Linked DNA regions of Mus musculus. Each later gene encodes a partner of the first gene's protein in a complex. Links are inferred from orthologs where the notes say so. Each region holds a gene or a part of one and is shown on either strand. Other genes may lie near its edges.

Region 1 (3,557 bases):
TGCATTCAAGGCCAGCCTGGTCTACAGAGTGAGTTCCAGGACAGCCAGGGTTATACAGAGAAACCCTGTCTCAAAAAAAACAAAAAAACAAAAACCAACAACAACAAAAGACAAACAAACAAAAGAATGTCAGCAAGTATAACAATCAGTCAAGCTGCAAATCAAGGCTTTGAGTTCTCAGAGCTGCCTCTCATCATGGCTTTGACTTCTTGAGGATTCTCTCACAATAAAACCAAAACAAAACAAAAATCAAACAAACAAAACCAACAGGGGCTGGAGAGATGGCTCAGCAGTTAAGAGCACTGACTGTTCTTCTAGAGGTCCTGAATTCAATTTCCTGCAATCACATGGTGGCTCACAACCGTCTGTAATGGGAACCAATGCTCTCTTCAAAAAATAGAGAACCGGCTGGGCAAGGTGGCACACGCCTTTAATCCCAGCACTTGGGAGGCAGAGACAGGCGGATTTCTGGGTTTGAGGACAGCATGGTCTACAGAGTGAGTTCCAGGACAGCCAGGGCTACACAGAGAAACCCTGTCTCAGAAAAAAACAAAAATGAAACACCAAAGGGTTGGAGAGATGGCTCAGTGATTAAGAGCATTGGCTGCTCTTCTAGAGGACCCGAGTTCAATTCCCAGTACCCACGTGGTGACTCACAACTGTCTGTAACTCAAGTCCCAGTGGATCTGACTCTCTTACACAGACATGAAGGGAAAACACCAGTGTACATAAAGATTAAAAAAAAATTTTTTTAAAGGGCTAGAGAGATGGCTCAGACATTAAGAGCACTGGGAGCTCTTCCAGAGGTCCTGAGTTCAATTCCAAGCAACCACATTATAGATGGGTCTAACCATCTATAATGAGATCTGGTGCCCTCTTCTGGCATGCAGGCATACATGCAGGCAGAACATTGTATACATAACAAAAATTTAAAAACCAAAACCAAACAAACAAAAAAACTTTAAAAATAAAACAACAACAAAAACCTTACTTAGAAATTAAGAGCTCCAAGACAAAGGAAGTTTAGGTACCACTAGTTCAAAAATGCCTCCCAGGGTCCCGCATGGTAGCCCACGCCTTTACTTGGAAGGCAGAGTCAGATCTCTATGAGTTTAGTATAGCTTGGTCTATACACCTAGTTACAAGACACCATAATAAGACCTTGTTTCAAAAAAGCAAAGCAAAACAAACAAACAAAACATTCTTCTCCGGTGGCTAAAAGTATTCAAATAGGTCCACAGTCCAGCTAAAATTTAGTGTGAATTTGGGAATAGTTTCTTTTGCTTGGCACATTGCAGGAATGGGAGGTGGGATTCGCAGCCTGTAGCCTTGAACTTACAGCAACCCCCCTGCCTCAGTTTTTCAGGATGTTGGCTTTACAGTTAACACACCATCCCTGGCTCTGGGTGGAGCTCTGGGCTCCATTTTTCAGATAAGATCGCCAAGACTTAGAACAGTTACTACAAGGTCTGATAGGATGGCGGCCAACTCGGAGAACCCACCTGCTTGTCCAGGGCCCGGTTCTGCTCTTGCAGCGCCTCGATTTCCACCTGCACCTGGGCCCGAGACTTGAGAAGACATTCCATTTCCGCCAAATGCTTCTTGTCTCCCAGTCGCTTGACCTGGCTCTGCGCTACGTTAATCTGCGTCTGGAGCTTGGCTCGAAGCATCTCCAGCTGCCGAATCTCCTCGCTGTCCAACCGGGAGGAGCAGGTGGTCCGCACCAGCAAGTGGCAGCACTCAACCAGTTCCAGCCGGCGCCCCTCACTGAGCCCCGACACCCCACCTCCCCACCCCCACCTCCCACCCCCCACCCCCCACCCCGCCCCAGACCCTGTTTTTCCCAATCCCGTCTCTTCTCTACCCCAGCACTGGACTCTCCAGAGATCCTGCAACTCTCAGGCCCTGCACCTCCTCCTGTTCCTACCTTTTATCCTGTCCCTTTCATGAACCACTCCCCTGTCCCGGCTCCTTCCCCACCCCTGTACTTCCCCTCCCCTCCTCCCCTCCTCCCCTCCTCCCCTCCTCCCCTCCTCCCGTCCTCCCCTCCTCCCCTCCTCCCCTCCTCCCCTCCTCCCCTCCTCCCCTCCTCCCAGGGCTCAGAAGTCCCTTTTCTGTTCTTTTCCCCAGCTTACACTTGCTTCCTGAGGCGCTGATGAACTTCCTTGCTGTATGCCCGCCTTTCCAACTCCATCATCTTGCACTGCCGTTGCAGGCGGCTGAGCTCCCCATCCACTGTGGATGAGACCAGGCAAAGGACTCAAAGGGATCAGGACTGTCAGATCTCCCCAGAGGGTCCCTTTAGGATCTCAAAAACTACAACTGTACCCCAGTCCCAGCCCTGGCATCCTATGGAACCTCATCTCAGTCCCTGTGTTCCCAGTAGTCAAACTGACCCATTCCCATCCCAGCTGTTCTGGCTTAAGGATGCCCCCTGGTCTAAAACACCTGGGACTAGAGAAAGAGGCTCCCTCCTAGCTTTCTGTTGGACTGCAGTGGCCTCTCTCCTACTATCCTCTGGGCTTCACCCAGCCTCCCACTCATCTCCCTACAAAATCCTCAAGGACTTCCTACACCCAGAATGGTCCCTTCCTTCCTCTTAGATGCCTCAGTCTAAGGCCAGAAGAGCCTGCCATACCCATCTGTCTTAGTTAGGGTTTCCATTGCTGTGAAGAGACACCATGACCAAGGCAACTCTTAAAAAGGACATCATTTTATTGGGGCTGGCACACAGGTTCAGTACATTATCATCATACCAAGAAGCATGGCAGCATCCAGGCAGGCATGGTGCTGGAGGAGCTGAGAGCTCTACATCTTGTTCCAAAGGCAAACAGGAAAAGACTGACTCCCAGGCAGCTAGGAGGAGGGTCTCAAAATCCACCCCCACAGTGACACAAGTCCTCCAACAAGGCTATACCTACTCCAAGAAGGCCACGCCTCCTAATAGTGCCACTCTCTGGGCCAAGCATATTCAAACCACCACATTCTACTCTCTGACTCCCCTAGGCTTGTTCAAACACATGATTCTATGGGGACCACACCTAGACACAGCATGACACTAAAACATTTAGTCCAACTAGAAATGTCCCCATAGTCTATAACAGTCTCAACAATGTTAAAAGCCTGAAGTTCAAAGTCTCGTCTGATGTGCATCCAATCACTTAACTGCAATCCCAAAGCAAGATCAAAAGCCAGCTGGGCAAACTCCAAACTCTACATCTCTATGTCAAAGTGTTCTTCAGATCTCCAACTCTTCTCTGCTTTGTTGACTGCAACAAACTTCTTTCTCCTGGGCTGGTTCCACTCCCTGTTAGCAGCTTTCTTCAGAAGGTATTCCCTGGCATTTCAAACATCTTGGGGTCTCCAAGGCAACTTCAACTTTGCAGCTTCTTGTTCCAATGTCTGGGATCCCCACATGATCTTCTGGGCTCCTCCAAAGGGCTTGGATCACATCTCCAGCTCTGCTCTCTGTAGCACTCTAGGCTCTGGTTGACTCCACTCCATTGCTGCTGCTGTGCTTGGTGATCATCCCATGGTGCTGACATCTCCAATACACT
Region 2 (4,334 bases), on another chromosome or scaffold:
GAGTGAGTTCCAGGACAGCCAGGGCTACACAGAGAAACCCTGTCTCGAAAAACAAAACAAAACAAAACAAAAGAACAACAACATCAACAACCAACAAGGGTATTGGCACTAATGAAAGTCTCTGACTTTACCACATTTTCCCAAGTAATCAGTTATGGTGGCTTGAGACAGAGACTCCCCTGTTACTTGGGCTGGCCTTCACCTCACTATGTAACTGAGGCTGCCTTGAACTTGTGGCAATCCTGCTTCAGTCTCTCAAGTGCTAGAATTACAGATGTTGTGCTCATTTGTGTTTATACATTTGCCAGTAAGGACATCTTTTTTAGAGACTGAAAACGGTTTGCTTTGCTCCTACTGTGTGCTGGATTCTGTTCCTAATACATGCCCATTAAGCTGGATCCTGTTTCTGTTTTTGTGTTTGAAACTCGCTGTGTAGCCAGGGCTGGCCTGGAACTTGTTATGGAGACCAGAAAGCCTGTATCTCACAACCAACCTCCTACCTCTGTCTCTGGAGTAAGAAAATTAAAGACCCAGGCCACCAAGCCTGGCTCAGCTGAATTCTGGAAAGACAGTTTAAGACAAGATTCTGGGCTGGAGAGATGGCTCAGGGATTAAGAGCACTGGTGCTCTTGCAGAAGACCCAGGTTTAACTCCTAGCACCCAAGTGGTGGCTCAAAATCATGTATAACTCCAAGACTGTTTTAAAAAACCAATATAGTTGAGGCAGTTAACTGAGCTAGCTATCTAAGATATTATGGGTACTTAGAGGTACTGCTGTGTCTGTGTGGTGTGTGTGTGTGTGTGTGTGTGTGTGAACATGTGTGTGCTTGTGCACATGTGAATGTAGATGCCAGGGGACACTTCAGGAATGCATGTCTTTCTGTCTCTCCAGGGCTGGCTAATACAAGATGGTGCCATCACACTGGGCTGTACCAGGGTTGGGGGAACTGAAACAGAGAGCTGCATGCTTAGCATGCGCTTTACCAACTGAGTTATCCCCACAGCCATTACTCCTGAATGGCTGCAGAATTATGTCAGGCTAGACCTTAGTTTAGACTTGCTATTAGCAAGTGTTCCATAACTATGTGACATTGAAAGCTAAACCCATCACACTTTCCATTGCATTCTCATGCAAATCCTCACGTCCCTGAGGGCTCTATTATTTTCCTGTTCATTTGGCAGGTAGAACGCGTACTTTTCAGTTCCCTAATGTGCTTGGTCAAGGATCACGCAGCTAAGAAGTGACAAGAGAGAAGGCTGCCCAAGCCCTCTGACTCCGGTTCCAAAATTCTCTCTCCTTCCTAATGGGACCTGGAGTGCTTAAGCCTTAATCCTACTTGGAATTTTGCCTCCAATTCTCATTTTCTTGGCTTGCTTTGTCTGCGAGGCTTTCCACGTGGCAACTGGAGGGGAGAAGCAACCTACAAGCAAACAGCGATCACTCTGGAGCGCCAGCGTCCTGCAGCCGCCGGCCACGCGCTCAGCACTTGTCTGACCGGTGTGCGCAGCGTGGCGACACAGGCGCATGAGCACGCTGGGCGGGCTCACCCGGAGGCCTAACACCGCCAGGGGAGGGGAGGGGAGGGACCGGAAGTTAGACTATCTCTCTAGGTTGCTAAGAGACCGGGCTGTCCCAAAACAAGCCGGCGATTCTCCAGCCTCTTTTCCTTTCTGAATCTGCTTCAGAATTTCCAAAAGTAGGGTGACCATGTCGGACGGTGATATCTTAAGAAGCACTTTTCCCTCTTACATGGCAGAGGGGGAGAGGCTTTATCTGTGCGGGGAGTTCACTAAGGCCATTCAAAGCTTTACCAACGTGAGTTGCGCTTTGATCCTATTACTGTGTTGCCTTCCTCTTTTCCCCTCCTCCCTTTCCCTCTCTTCCTCCTCCCCTTCTTCTTTCCCTTCCCCTTCCTTCTCCTCTCCCCTCTTCTTTTTTTCTCTTCTTTCCTCTCTCAACCTCCTCCCCGCCTCCGCTCCTCTTTTGAGATAGACACTTGTTCTGTAGACCAGGGTGGTCTCGAACTACCCCTACTTCCTGAGAGATGACTTCCAATGTGCACCCTCATTCCCAACTTATGATTTGAAAGGAAGGTGCCCTCCTTATGTCCTCTGGAGGCCAACTCCCTATCTTGCAGTTGGCCTCTGGAATGATGGAACCCCAGCTTGCTACCTGGACCCACCACCATTGTGTTGTTGATGAAAGATTTGTGTGTATGTATACCACATGCATGCCTGGTACTTTTGGAAGCCAGAAGAGGGAACTGGATCCCTTGGAACTGGAGTTACAGGCAGTTATGTAGCACCAAATGGGTGCTGGGATCCAGATCTGGGTCCTCTACAGGAATAGTAAGTGCTGTTAACCAATAAATCAACACGATACCACCCCCCACCACACACACACACACACTTCACCACTTAAAGAAAAATATTTGTATGTGATGGGTGTTTTGCCAGCATGCATGGACCACATGCATACTTCCCTCTTAGAGTGTGGAAATGGACTGAGGGGTGTGAGCTGCCATGTAGGTGCTGGGACTTGAACCTGGGTCCTCTGGAAGAGCAGGCAGTCAGTCAGTTAGTGTTCTTAGCTGCTAAAAAATCTCCAGTCCCACCCAATTACCATTTTTTTTTCATCACCAGCAGCCCTGAGGTCCATTTTGTGGATATCATACTCCTGGTTCCCATGATATGCCACTGTCACACATAAACCCTGACTTTTGCCATTTTCTCTTATAGTTTCTCACTAATGCCTGCCAGTTGGAGACATAATGTGACCAATCATTAAATGTTTCATGATTACCTTTCTCTTGATAAATTCAGTCTCCCATCCTTAGCCACAGATTGCCCAAGAAGCTAAATGTAGAAGTCTTTGGCACAGGCTTGCCTGTAAGAAAGTTGTCGGTGAAGTTAGGGCGTACTGTAGTAACCTTATTGAAAATTACACCATTGTACCCTACAGGGATTGGGAGTCGTTTTAGGATATTAGACTCACTGCTCTAAGCAGTGTGTGTCCGTCTAGGATGTCGGGGAGCGGAAGGGGTTACTATTGTTTTCTTTGTATATATGAGGAAGTGAATATAAAAGTTAGGTAACATGCCCAAGGTCACTGCACTGAACTAGCTGGAGTAGTGGAGGAAGGATCCTGTGAGCCAAGCATTCAGACTCCAGTTGCCTGGGGTGCCAACCTCCAGACTGCAAGGTGTTCTGATAACCTTTTCCTTTGCAGGGCTGGAGACAGTGCTTAGCTGGGTAGAGTGTTTGCCTTGTGTGCATGAAGCCCTGGTTTGATCCTGCTTTTGAGTGTGTTGTCCCACACTTTCAGTCCCAGCAGCTGGCAGGTAGAGAGAGAGAAGGAACAGAGATTTAAGATCATCTATGGCTACTTAGCAAGGTCAGGGCCAGCGTGGAATACTGGAGATCCTGCCTCCAGAACAGAATAACCATTTCCTTTGCTAGAAACTATACTTTTCTTTTGGGGTGCTGGTGCTCCGACCCCACATGCTTGCCAGTTGCTCTTCTTCTGAGTAACATGAGGAGCCCATAGCCTCCTTCCTTCCTTCCTTCCTTCCTTCCTTCCTTCCTTCCTTCCTTCCTTCCTTTCTTCCTTCCTTCTTTCTTCCTTCCTTTCTCAAGACGGGACTTCTCTGTATAGCCCTGACCATCCTGGAATTTGCTCTGTAGACTGGGTTATTTCGAACTCAGAGATCCTCCCGCCTCTGCCTCCTCAGTACACACCTGAGAACTGAAGGCGTGCACCACCACACCCAGCTCTACTTGGCATAGCATCGGGGCATGGTGGTACTTGTAAATCCCAATATTCAGGGTGCTGAGACAGGAGGATTTTGAGTTTGGGGCTGGCCAGGGCTACATAGTGAGTTCAAGACACGCCTGAGCTAAACTGGCAAAACTGTTTCCAAAGAACCAAATTAAAGCAAACCCTTAAACGGAGTGTCAGCCCACTAACCAATCCCAAGACTTCCCTCAAGTCCAGCTTCTCTACCATCCCCCAATCTTTCACCTCTTTCCCTAGTCACAGCCTCTAAGAGAAATGACGACCTGATGGGCATATGGAGTTAGGAGTTCCGCCAGTTCCCCTCTCTCATGGAGCAATCTGGTCCTAGAGAAGCTGAGACAGAAAGTAAAGATGGCCCCAAGGGCAGGTTAGGAAGCCCTCCCATTCTAGGAAAGATAGCAGCTGCTTCCTCTTCCTAGAAAAGAAGGAAGGTCTTAGAGAGGGCAGACTTGGTCTGACGCCTAGGGGATCACGTCTGTCTTTCCTGGCACCAGTTTCTAGTGCAGAGCCACCTTCCCTTGGGGCAATGTTCTCTTCT

The links.
Region 2: Ccdc114 (region 1) and Ttc25 share a complex: the UniProt entries of both Homo sapiens proteins name them as parts of the outer dynein arm-docking complex. The link is inferred for Mus musculus from reciprocal best matches to the Homo sapiens genes ODAD1 and ODAD4.

The regions. Positions count from the first base shown.
Region 1 is NC_000073.6:45,927,202-45,930,758, reverse strand, and holds part of Ccdc114 (coiled-coil domain-containing protein 114), read right to left. Parts: intron 2,236-3,557; coding exon 2,136-2,235; intron 1,969-2,135; exon of another isoform or gene 1,928-1,968; intron 1,693-1,927; coding exon 1,503-1,692; intron 1-1,502. UniProt on the Homo sapiens protein: Component of the outer dynein arm-docking complex (ODA-DC) that mediates outer dynein arms (ODA) binding onto the doublet microtubule. Involved in mediating assembly of both ODAs and their axonemal docking complex onto ciliary microtubules.
Region 2 is NC_000077.6:100,544,093-100,548,426, forward strand, and holds the start of Ttc25 (tetratricopeptide repeat protein 25), read left to right. Parts: upstream 1-1,515; 5' UTR 1,516-1,708; coding exon 1,709-1,816; intron 1,817-4,334. UniProt on the Homo sapiens protein: Component of the outer dynein arm-docking complex (ODA-DC) that mediates outer dynein arms (ODA) binding onto the doublet microtubule. Plays an essential role for the assembly of ODA-DC and for the docking of ODA in ciliary axoneme.